Linked DNA regions of Bombyx mori. The main gene of each other region encodes a partner of the protein of the gene in region 2 in a complex. Links are inferred from orthologs where the notes say so. Each region holds a gene or a part of one and is shown on either strand. Other genes may lie near its edges.

Region 1 (5,725 bases), on a different chromosome or scaffold from region 2:
GCAGTGGTGTATTTCGGTTTGAAGGGTGGGGCAGCGGTTGTAACTATACTGAGACCTTAGAACTTCTATCTCAAGGTGTGTGGTGCGTTTGCGCTGTGGATGTCTAAGGGTTCCAGTAGCCACTTAACACAAGGTGGGCTGTGAGCTCGTCCACACATTAAATCGAAGAGCGTAATCAAACGAAATTAGATACGAAGTTTAAAAGGCCGTTTAAAGTAGTTGAAGTATTGGATGGTGACCGTTACACATTGAAAGCTTTAAATTCAAAACTTACTTACAAATACCCACATGATAGGCTAAGAAAATTGCCAGCATGACACATACCAGTCGAAGTTGATGTAAATGATGATGATGAAGAGCAAGCTTAAATTGTGGTGAAAACTCGAGTAAGGAGTTTCTTGGTATTTTTTTGTATTTCACATCTTTTTGTAGAGAATGAAAGTTATTGAAGTCTTATTTTTTTTGTAAAGTGCAAATGTTATTGAGATGAGTTTTATAAACGTGGACTTGGCGCAATTTTTTACAGTGAAACTGTTTTTGTTCGGATTTCATATCTTTTAGTTAAGTATTATTTTTTGCTCATTTATTACTTAACAAAAATAGACAATAGAATAAAAATATATTACTAGTATATAGTCACTCAGCTTAAAAGCTAATGAAACGCTCAATTAATTAGTGTAATAATAATCAACATCAACTTTTACAAATTTAAACCGAATTAAATTCTGTTTCAAATGTGAACGGTGGATGACGCTGTTCTTAATTATTTCAGATTTTAAAATTGAAATCTGAAAGCTTTGAAACGTCAATCTGCATAAATGTAATTCAAAAACTACAGTAAGAGGCTTAAATAAAAAGCTAAATTTAACTCAGCCTTAATTAAAATTTTTTTCGGAATTTAGTAGTAAAGTTCAAGTTATTTTGATGAAATCAAAACTGAAATATTCATAACATCTTAAACAATCACCTACGAATAAATATTATTTATTATATTATCTATTCAGTAGACAATCACAACGGTTTTATAGTTTTGGGAAGGGATTTTTTGTAACGCCATCTCGTGAAGTATTTCGGTATTACATTAATATAAAATAATTAATAATTGGGAATTTAATTATTTTTATGATCGAACAATCACCAATAGTCATCGAACAAACGATAATTGATCAAAATGAATTAAAATGAATTAATCGATAAAAATAAAGATATCTAGTAAGAGGGGCCCACTTAACGGTGATCATTTATTTAATTAATTATAAATAAACAAAAGACGAACAAACAATTTTTACATTCGAGCATTAACGAACAAACGACGAACAAATAATTAAAAATAAAAAAAATCCGAAAATAAAAAAAGGGGGCCAAATTTACAGAGCCATAACCTACTAACTTAAATATTAAGTGTATGATCTATACCTACGGCACACTGAATTTGGCCCCTCTTTTTTTGATTTTCAAATTTTTTTATTTTTAATTATTTGTCCGTTGTTTGTTCGTTAATGTTCATATGTAAAAAATCTTTGTTCGTCTTTTATTTATTTATAATTAATTAAACAAATGATCACATTAAGTTGGCTCCTTTTACTAGATATCTTTATTTTTATCACTCAGATTAATTAATTTTGATCAATTATCGTTTGTTTGACGACTATTGGTGATTGTTCGATCATAAAAACAATTGAATTCTCAATTATTAATTATTTTATATCTAATAAGCAAACCATCACCTCACGCCAACAAATATAAAAAAATCCAAAATAAAAAAGGGGGCTAAATTCACTGAGCCATTAAGCACATAATATTTGCATGTGTTTAATCTATGATATTTGCTACCATAGATAATAGAGCCTAGGAAAGGCGACGACGACGCATTTGCTTTAATATTTTCCAATTGAAAATACAGAAAGGCCATTAATAGCCTACAGTATATTTTTTAAATACAACACTCGCTTTAGCGAAGATGTATGATACAGAAGATGATCAATACGAAGAGGAAGATGTGGAAATAACACCTGAGCTTTGGCAAGAAGCTTGTTGGATTGTCATCAACGCTTATTTCGATGAAAAAGGTCTAGTGAGACAGCAATTAGATAGCTTCGATGAATTTATTCAAATGTCGGTACAACGTATAGTTGAAGATTCTCCACCCATAGAATTACAAGCAGAAGCACAACATTTCTCTGGTGAGATGGAAACACCACCAAAATATCGTCTTAAATTTGACCAAATTTATTTATCTAAACCTACTCATTGGGAGAAAGATGGAGCTCCATCTCCCATGATGCCCAATGAAGCACGTCTTCGTAATTTAACATATTCGGCACCTTTATATGTTGATATTACAAAAACAATAGAGAAAGAACATGAGGATCCTATTGAAACGCAACATCAGAAAACATTTATTGGCAAGATTCCTATTATGCTTAGATCTACATATTGCTTACTAAACAGTTTGACTGACCGTGACTTGTCAGAATTGAATGAATGCCCCTTAGATCCTGGTGGTTACTTCATTATTAATGGATCAGAAAAAGTACTAATTGCACAGGAAAAAATGGCTACCAATACTGTCTATGTATTCAGCATGAAGGATGGCAAATATGCTTACAAAACAGAAATAAGATCATGTCTGGAACATAGTTCTAGACCGACATCTACATTATGGGTTAATATGATGGCTCGAGGAGGACAAAATATAAAGAAATCTGCTATTGGTCAAAGAATTATGGCAATTGTCCCATATATCAAACAAGACATACCTATAATGATTGTATTCAGAGCTTTAGGTTTTGTTGCTGATAGAGATATATTGGAACACATTATATATGATTTTGATGATCCAGAAATGATGGAAATGGTTAAGCCATCTCTTGATGAGGCTTTTGTCATTCAAGAACAAAATGTAGCACTCAATTTTATTGGAAGCCGAGGAGCACGCCCAGGTGTCACCAAAGAAAGACGTATTAAATATGCTAGAGAAATCTTACAAAAGGAAATGTTGCCACATGTTGGAGTATCAGATTTTTGTGAAACAAAAAAAGCTTATTTTCTAGGCTACATGGTACACAGATTATTATTAGCTGCTTTGGGTCGAAGAGAACTGGATGATAGAGATCATTATGGCAACAAAAGATTAGATTTAGCAGGACCACTTTTGGCTTTTCTATTTAGAGGCTTATTCAAAAATTTACTAAAAGAAGTCCGAATGTATGCTCAAAAATTTATTGATAGAGGAAAAGATTTCAACTTGGAACTTGCTATCAAAACAAAAATCATCACTGATGGTCTTCGTTATTCTTTGGCAACTGGTAATTGGGGTGACCAAAAGAAAGCTCATCAGGCCCGAGCTGGAGTATCTCAAGTGTTGAACAGATTAACTTTTGCATCTACTTTATCCCATTTAAGACGTGTCAATTCTCCAATTGGACGTGATGGTAAACTTGCTAAACCACGTCAATTGCACAATACTTTATGGGGTATGATTTGTCCTGCTGAAACTCCAGAGGGAGCTGCTGTTGGCTTAGTGAAGAATTTAGCATTAATGGCTTATATCTCAGTAGGAAGTCAACCTTCACCAATTTTGGAGTTCTTGGAAGAATGGTCAATGGAAAACTTGGAAGAAATTGCACCATCAGCTATAGCTGATGCCACAAAGATATTTGTGAATGGTTGTTGGGTAGGAATACACAGGGACCCTGAACAGTTGATGGCTACACTACGTAAACTAAGACGTCATATGGACATCATTGTCTCTGAAGTCAGTATGATTAGAGATATAAGAGACAGAGAAATCAGAATCTATACAGATGCAGGTAGAATTTGTAGGCCATTACTTATTGTCAATAATGGTGTCTTATTGTTGAAAAAGAAGCACATAGATGATTTAAAAGAAAAGGACTACAATAACTATGGTTGGCAAAATTTGGTGGCTAGTGGAGTAGTTGAATATATTGATACTTTGGAAGAAGAAACTGTGATGATTGCCATGAGTTTAGATGACTTGAATCAAGTTAAAGAATATGCATATTGTACTACTTATACACATTGTGAGATTCATCCTGCAATGATTCTGGGTGTCTGTGCGTCTATTATTCCATTCCCAGATCATAATCAAAGTCCCAGAAATACTTATCAAAGTGCTATGGGTAAACAAGCTATGGGAGTTTATATCACAAATTTCCATGTTAGAATGGATACACTGGCTCATGTTTTGTATTATCCTCACAAACCCCTGGTTACGACAAGATCTATGGAATACTTACGATTTAGAGAATTGCCAGCAGGAATTAACTCCATTGTTGCTATTCTTTGTTATACCGGATATAACCAAGAAGATAGTGTTATTTTGAATGCATCTGCTGTAGAGAGAGGATTCTTTAGATCCGTATTTTACCGTTCATACAAAGATTCTGAATCTAAAAGAAATGGAGAACAAGAAGAACAGTTTGAAAAACCAACCAGACAGACATGTCAGGGTATGAGGAATGCTCTGTATGACAAATTAGATGATGATGGTATTATTGCTCCTGGTATTAGAGTATCAGGTGATGATGTTGTCATAGGAAAAACTATAACTTTGCCAGAAAATGATGATGAGTTGGAAGGTACAACAAAACGATTTACAAAGCGAGATGCATCCACTTTCTTACGTAATAGTGAAACTGGAATTGTTGACCAAGTAATGTTAACATTAAATAGCGAAGGTTATAAATTTTGTAAAATTCGAGTCAGATCTGTACGCATCCCGCAAATTGGAGATAAGTTTGCTTCACGACATGGTCAAAAAGGAACATGTGGAATTCAATACAGGCAAGAAGATATGCCATTTACTTGCGAAGGTATAACACCAGATATCATTATTAATCCTCACGCTATCCCTTCACGTATGACAATTGGTCACTTGATTGAGTGTATTCAAGGGAAAGTATCTTCTAATAAGGGAGAGATCGGTGATGCAACCCCATTCAATGATGCTGTAAATGTGCAAAAAATATCATCTCTGTTACAAGATTATGGTTACCATCTACGTGGTAATGAAGTCATGTACAATGGGCATACAGGCCGTAAAATTAATGCGCAAGTTTTTTTGGGACCAACTTACTACCAACGTTTAAAGCACATGGTCGATGATAAAATTCATTCTAGAGCTAGAGGTCCAGTACAAATTCTAGTGAGACAGCCTATGGAAGGTAGGGCAAGAGATGGTGGATTACGTTTTGGTGAAATGGAACGTGATTGTCAGATTGCACACGGAGCTGCCCAATTTTTACGTGAACGTTTATTTGAAGTATCAGATCCTTACCGTATACACGTGTGTAATTTCTGCGGCCTGATCGCTATAGCTAATTTGCGTAACAATACATTTGAATGCAAAGGCTGCAAAAACAAAACTCAAATTTCGCAAATCCGTTTACCATATGCAGCCAAGTTACTATTCCAGGAACTAATGTCGATGAATATCGCTCCTAGACTAATGGTAGTGAGTTAAGTAATATAATTTGATAAGAAAATAATTCACTGTCAACTATTAAGATTTAAAATAAAATAAAATCTAATCGTTTTTGTAAGAGTTTTATTACAAACCGACAACATTAAATGCAACTTAATAACACAAGATCACAATAGAAAAAATGGTGTACTTTGTTTCTGGCTTAAGATTCAGAAATCCGACCAGTCAACACTTCATTAGACATTCAATTAATAAATGTATATTTATGAACTAACA
Region 2 (5,608 bases):
CGCGTCACTTTTTTCCGTTACGCGCCATCTGTTTTGTATTCATGTCTATGATAATAAAATCCTTTTGTTTAAACTTTATCTAATTTAACTTTTTTGTATTCATGTCTATGATAATAAAATCCTTTTGTTTAAACTTTATCTAATTTAACTTTATTTAACCAATTTCTAGAAAGTTGCATGTAGATCATTTTTCGAAAAATAAGGCCATAAACAAGTTTCACTTCTTACGTGTGTACACTAGTACACGCACACATTTTTTTCATTTAATTTCATCCCAGTTGATTAATGTCTTAAATTAATCATCTTCATTTCACTCCATATTATAATTTTTCATCAAATGAGTCGTCTATTATCAAAGGTGGCAATCTGTGCATTTGGACAAAAAAATGTTATTGATATGTCAATACAGATTGAGTTGAATATAATCGTCTCCTTCAAAGAATACGGTTCAAAACCTGCATTAAATAAAGGTTAATAGTTAACCTGTTATTTATCTAAGATGTCGTTCCGAAGAGTTTTGTGACTGCCAATGGAATACAAAGTCAATAATTCGTTTTTCTGATTTACCAATAATTGTCCAAAAGTCAGATTGCCGGCTTTGATAATAGTCGACTCAAATAAGCATTTATATTAAAATAAGACATGACTTAAAGGTCTTAGTTACCAGGTCATAAAATCCCTTAAAAAAAAAGCTTACACTTACGCCTTAAAGGCTTATTACACTTGGCTAAATTTAGTCGACTGAATTCAAAAGCAAATTTAGAAGCAAGTTGGAAGCTTCTGATTACACTGTTCTTAACTTCAGTTACTGAATCAATTGTCAGTATAAACGCGACGAAGTAGGACGTGTCGTGTGTGTGTGAATGGCCCCAGTATTATCTAAACAACAAAAAATTGGTCTAGGCGCAGACCTCGCTGTCGGCTCAATTGAAAAAAAAAAAAAATGAAGAGTATGGGCGAAGAAATATATATTGCTGCGCGGAAAGTTAGCAAATATGAACATTATGAGTGATTTATCTATCCGATGATATGTAGGAGAAGTAAAATGTCCCTTAGAAATAAGGTGACACTCTACAAAACTTGCATACGCCCCGTCATGACCTATGCAAGTGTAGTGTTCGCTCACGCGGCCCGCATACACTTGAAATCATTCCAAGTCATTCAATCCCGTTTTTGCAGGATAGCCGTCGGAGCCCCGTGGTTCGTCAGGAACGTCGACCTCCATGACGACCTGGACTTCGAGTCCACCAGTAAGTATATGCAGTCGGCGTCAATGCGCCACTTCGATAAAGCGGCACGACACGAGAACCCTCTCATCGTGGCCGCCGGTAACTACATTCCCGATCCTGCGGACAGAATGGAAAGCAGTCGACGTCGCCCAAAACACGTCATCTCGGATCCTCCCGATCCACTAACGGTGCTTTTAGGTACTTCAAGCACCGGTCACCGTTCTCGTCGAACCCGTCGCTTGCGACGAAGGGCTCGACGAGTAAATTAACTCTTAGACACAGCCCACTGAGTTTCTCGCCGGATCTTCTCAGTGGGTCGCGTTTCCGATCCGGTGGTAGATTCTGCGAAGCACGGCTCTTGCTAGGGTTCGTGTTAGCAACATCGTCAGGTTTGAGCCCCGTGAGCTCACCTACAAAAGTTAGGGTTACGCTGATATAGCCTCTCAAGGCTCTCAGCTTAGGCAGGAAAAAAAAAAAAAAAAAAAAAAAAAAAAAAGAATGATTTAGAACCAGCAGACTTCAGAAATGATCTACGAATGGATTCGAGGTCGTTTGACCAAATATTAAGCCTTGTGGCACAATTTTTTTCAAAAGCAGGATACTATCCTACGATACTACTATAGTCTATTATATATCTATATTATATAACTATTACATATCTAATCCTACGATAGTATAAGTCCAAAAGAAAGATTGGTTGTAACATTAAGATTTCTTGCAACAGGAAATTCGTATCAAGATTTAATTTTTAGTTCTTTATAATATCCCAACCCCTTCTGACAAAAATTATCCCTGAAACAAGTTGGGCTATTTATAAATGTTTGGCACATTTAATAAAGGTGAGCGAAATAAATACTTTTTATTCGGAAGTAAAAAACAAACTAAGCCGTCCTTACGCACGGAGAGCTATGGGACGACTGAAATCATTAAGTAACTAAATGCGATTACACCTTCTTATATGCGTTTCTAATTAGGCTTCTAAATGATTTAGTCAGTCAGAAACCATCCTTGCTACTGAATTTAGCAGGTTAACTTACTGAATGCTATTACACCGACTAAATTTAGCAAAGTGTAATGAGCCTTCCACACTTACCCATAAATAATAGATATTAAGTGTATAGTCTATGAATAATAGTTTATAATAGTAATAGTATTCTGTATAACCTATGGTATCTACTGAAAGTAGGGAGTAAATAGGTACCTACATACTTTATTTACAATTAATTATTACATAAAGTGACAAGTTCTAAAACAATGAACCATGGTGAATGTAATGAAAGGTGTCCTCGTTGAATGGTATTTATTATTTTTATTTCTCACAAATATTACTTTTACATATGCAAACTTACAGATAAAGTTAGAATCGTTACAATGTGCTTTAATGATTTGAATTTTAAATTACATCAGTTAATCAATTTACTACGTACAATATATTAACTTGCCAAAGAATTTCTTCTTTGGTTTTTCCCATACTTAAATTTAATGTTCTGGGCCTAGGTTATGAGGAATGCCTTGTATATAAAACTTCATTCAATGTAATCCATATCTTTAGGTATGTTAAAATTTTCTTCTAGTGCATCAATATCTATTTGAAAACTATTTTTTATATAAGATTTCAATATATATACATTTTCTGTCCATCTGTTGCTGGCTGTTTTCAATTCCTACAAAATGAAACATTTTTAATCCAATATTATTATTTGATAATATTATAGTTATGTCTTTGGTTATACATACTACCACCTACAGAAAGCTATTTATCAAAACATAGTATTTTTTTAAATGTACTTTGTTTTCCTTATTTTTAAATAATGAATACAATGCTTAATTAATATACTGATAAGTTATATTGAGTAATATTACCCACCAAATAATAAAATATATATTTTCTAGCATGAAATAGACATGTTAGACTTAAAAGTCATTACCAGTTGTAAGCTCATACAGTTTTGTCATTCTGCCTACATCTGCCAAAAAAAATATACACATTCCAGTTTGATCAGTTCACTTGGCCTTTATGAAATATAATAGTAACTGATCTAATGTGTGCAATATTAAAGTGGGTAGCAGAAGTCACATTGTGATACCTATCAACTTCAGTAACTTACTTAACACTTCAGAAACACTAAATACTATACTACTATAGAAAGGCCATGAACTGATTCATCAATTACTAAATCCTTAAACTTGGGACATTGGCCTTATCTATTGCGCTCACAGTGGGGCGCTAATATGAGCTTGAATGGAATATAGACCTTAAGACATCATCTCATCTACATTAATATAAGAATTGGATTTACAGTTATTTCACGTCTCAGTTGTGCAATATATTCAGGATCAGATTCTCTGTATTTTTGTAATTCTCTCTTATATGAAGCCTCTTGCTTTTGAAGATCTTCTAAAGATGATAATATTTTTATTCTTTCTTCAGATATCTCTCTGCCTTTCTAATATTAAAGTCAATTAATAAATATATCAGTCTCTGATAAATATAGAATAGAATTAAGTTTCATTATAACTCTATAGACTATACTATACTAAGTAAAAAACTATAAATATTCTGACCGATTCTGCTATAAGGACTTCCTCAGTTTTCTTTAACTTCTTCGTACATTCATCAAATTCATTCTGGAGTTCTTGTAGCTTCCTCTTCTTGGTACTTTTTGCTTTGCTACAAGTAATTTATTTAATGTTTGCATGGCATTACCACAGCTTGCTTGATTTGAAAAATAATTTTGCAGTCATAAATTTTTAAAAAGCACAATTGTTTACTCTTAATTTCTCATAGCATCAGTGTGTAAAGTCCATGTAAATTTTATTATTCAAAATAATAAAACTAGTCTTAGTCAATGACTGACTCGGTGGTGCAAAAGTTGGCACCCCTGACTGCCGAAAGTTGTGGATTCGATTCCCATATTGGGCAAAAATTTATTCATTCAGCTTTACTGCTTACATGAGTCCACCTGGTTTTACATGGTAACCGAAGCCCATAGACATTACAACATAAATGCTGCCACCTGCCTTGAGACAAGATTTCTAAGGTCTCAGTTGTAACAGCATGATGACCTAACACCCTTCAAACCGAAATAAATAACTGCTTAATGGCAGAAATAGGCCAGATTTGACGCCAGATGATAATGTACTGTTCTGTTCCCAGTTATTTAGTTAGTTGTTTAACATAGTACCTTGGGAAAGACCAAAAGTACACTGAAGTCCCAATTTTTTCAGAATCAACCAGGTGATCATCAATTAGACTCTGAATCACTTCTTTAACTGATTGCATTGTAATACCCTTTTCTTTTGGTGCTATTTTTTCTAGTTCCTGTAAAAGTTAAAATATAAAATATTATCTTAATAGATTTTGTTATGGCCACTTCTGTTTTATGTGCTGTCTAAACATTTTCTTTTGAACTAATTATTGACTATTTGGTGACTCAACTAACATGATCACCAACAAATAAGAAATTGGACTCCTACCAAGTAAGTCAAATGATGAGTAAACATTCGTGAAAACTTCATTTATTATTACTTTGCTCTCAATTAATTAAAAAACGACCTTGCATTGCTAGTAAGTAAGAAACTCCAGACACTATTTCACACTGTCTCATTTATCCTAAATAAGAGATATATTTTATTGCTTAGTTGAGTGGAAGAGCTTAATACCCACCCCTGGTGTATGTGATTAGGTTACTGGAGTCAACAGACATCACAATGTATGTGCCACCCATCAGTATTATCAGATTTCATTAATTATTTATTGTGAAAGTCATTTATAAACATGTTTAATTACAAAGTTCATTACTAAAATTGGCACCTAACCGCTGGGTTTAAACATTGCTATAATAATACTGTTTAATATGAGTACATCTGGCATCTTATCGTTTAGGGCAGAGTGACATCGAAAGCTATGTATGAAGTTGTAATTTAATGAGGTTACCTTTAATTGAAAAAAATCTTGACTTTGATGGAATATTTCAAGCATTCTGGTCTTCTTTTCATCAGCACTAAGACCTCGTTTCTTGGACATTTTCAGTGATCCGGCAATGAAACAATTCTTACTACACTTGGATGAAACTCTTGCACTTGGTAGAAAGTTTATTCTTCAAGACCTGGATGAAACACACTTGTTCATATCAGCTGATATTGTGGAGACTCTACAAGCTCGCGTTGACGATTTAATGGACCAGCTCAGCATACCCGTGCACGATAAAGGATTATAAATTACGAGGTAAATATTCAAACATATTTGTATAATATATGGTGATAGAGATCCGCATTTGTGCGCGAATCGCGAAATTTTACTTCATCATCATCATCATCATCAGCCTTTATCTGCCCACTGCTGGACATAGGCCTTCCCCAATGCCTTCCACATAATG

What was found. Proteins that work in one complex are often made in the same cells at the same time.
Region 1: general transcription factor IIH subunit 5 (region 2) and DNA-directed RNA polymerase II subunit RPB2 share a complex: the UniProt entries of both Homo sapiens proteins name them as parts of the TBP-based Pol II pre-initiation complex. The link is inferred for Bombyx mori from reciprocal best matches to the Homo sapiens genes GTF2H5 and POLR2B.

Annotation. Positions count from the first base shown.
Region 1 is NC_085110.1:13,229,463-13,235,187, forward strand, and holds DNA-directed RNA polymerase II subunit RPB2, read left to right. Parts: upstream 1-1,820; 5' UTR 1,821-1,960; coding exon 1,961-5,488; 3' UTR 5,489-5,562; downstream 5,563-5,725. UniProt on the Homo sapiens protein: Catalytic core component of RNA polymerase II (Pol II), a DNA-dependent RNA polymerase which synthesizes mRNA precursors and many functional non-coding RNAs using the four ribonucleoside triphosphates as substrates.
Region 2 is NC_085109.1:11,978,500-11,984,107, forward strand, and holds the start of general transcription factor IIH subunit 5, read left to right. Parts: upstream 1-2,363; 5' UTR 2,364-2,490; coding exon 2,491-2,525; exon of another isoform or gene 2,526-2,755; coding exon of another isoform or gene 2,756-2,893; intron 2,894-3,529; coding exon of another isoform or gene 3,530-3,676; intron 3,677-3,794; coding exon of another isoform or gene 3,795-3,900; intron 3,901-4,414; coding exon of another isoform or gene 4,415-4,551; intron 4,552-5,166; coding exon of another isoform or gene 5,167-5,256; exon of another isoform or gene 5,257-5,262; coding exon 5,263-5,449; 3' UTR 5,450-5,457; intron 5,458-5,608. Other genes in the region: meiotic nuclear division protein 1 homolog, read right to left, coding at 2,756-2,893, 3,530-3,676, 3,795-3,900, 4,415-4,551, 5,167-5,256. UniProt on the Homo sapiens protein: Component of the general transcription and DNA repair factor IIH (TFIIH) core complex, which is involved in general and transcription-coupled nucleotide excision repair (NER) of damaged DNA and, when complexed to CAK, in RNA transcription by RNA polymerase II.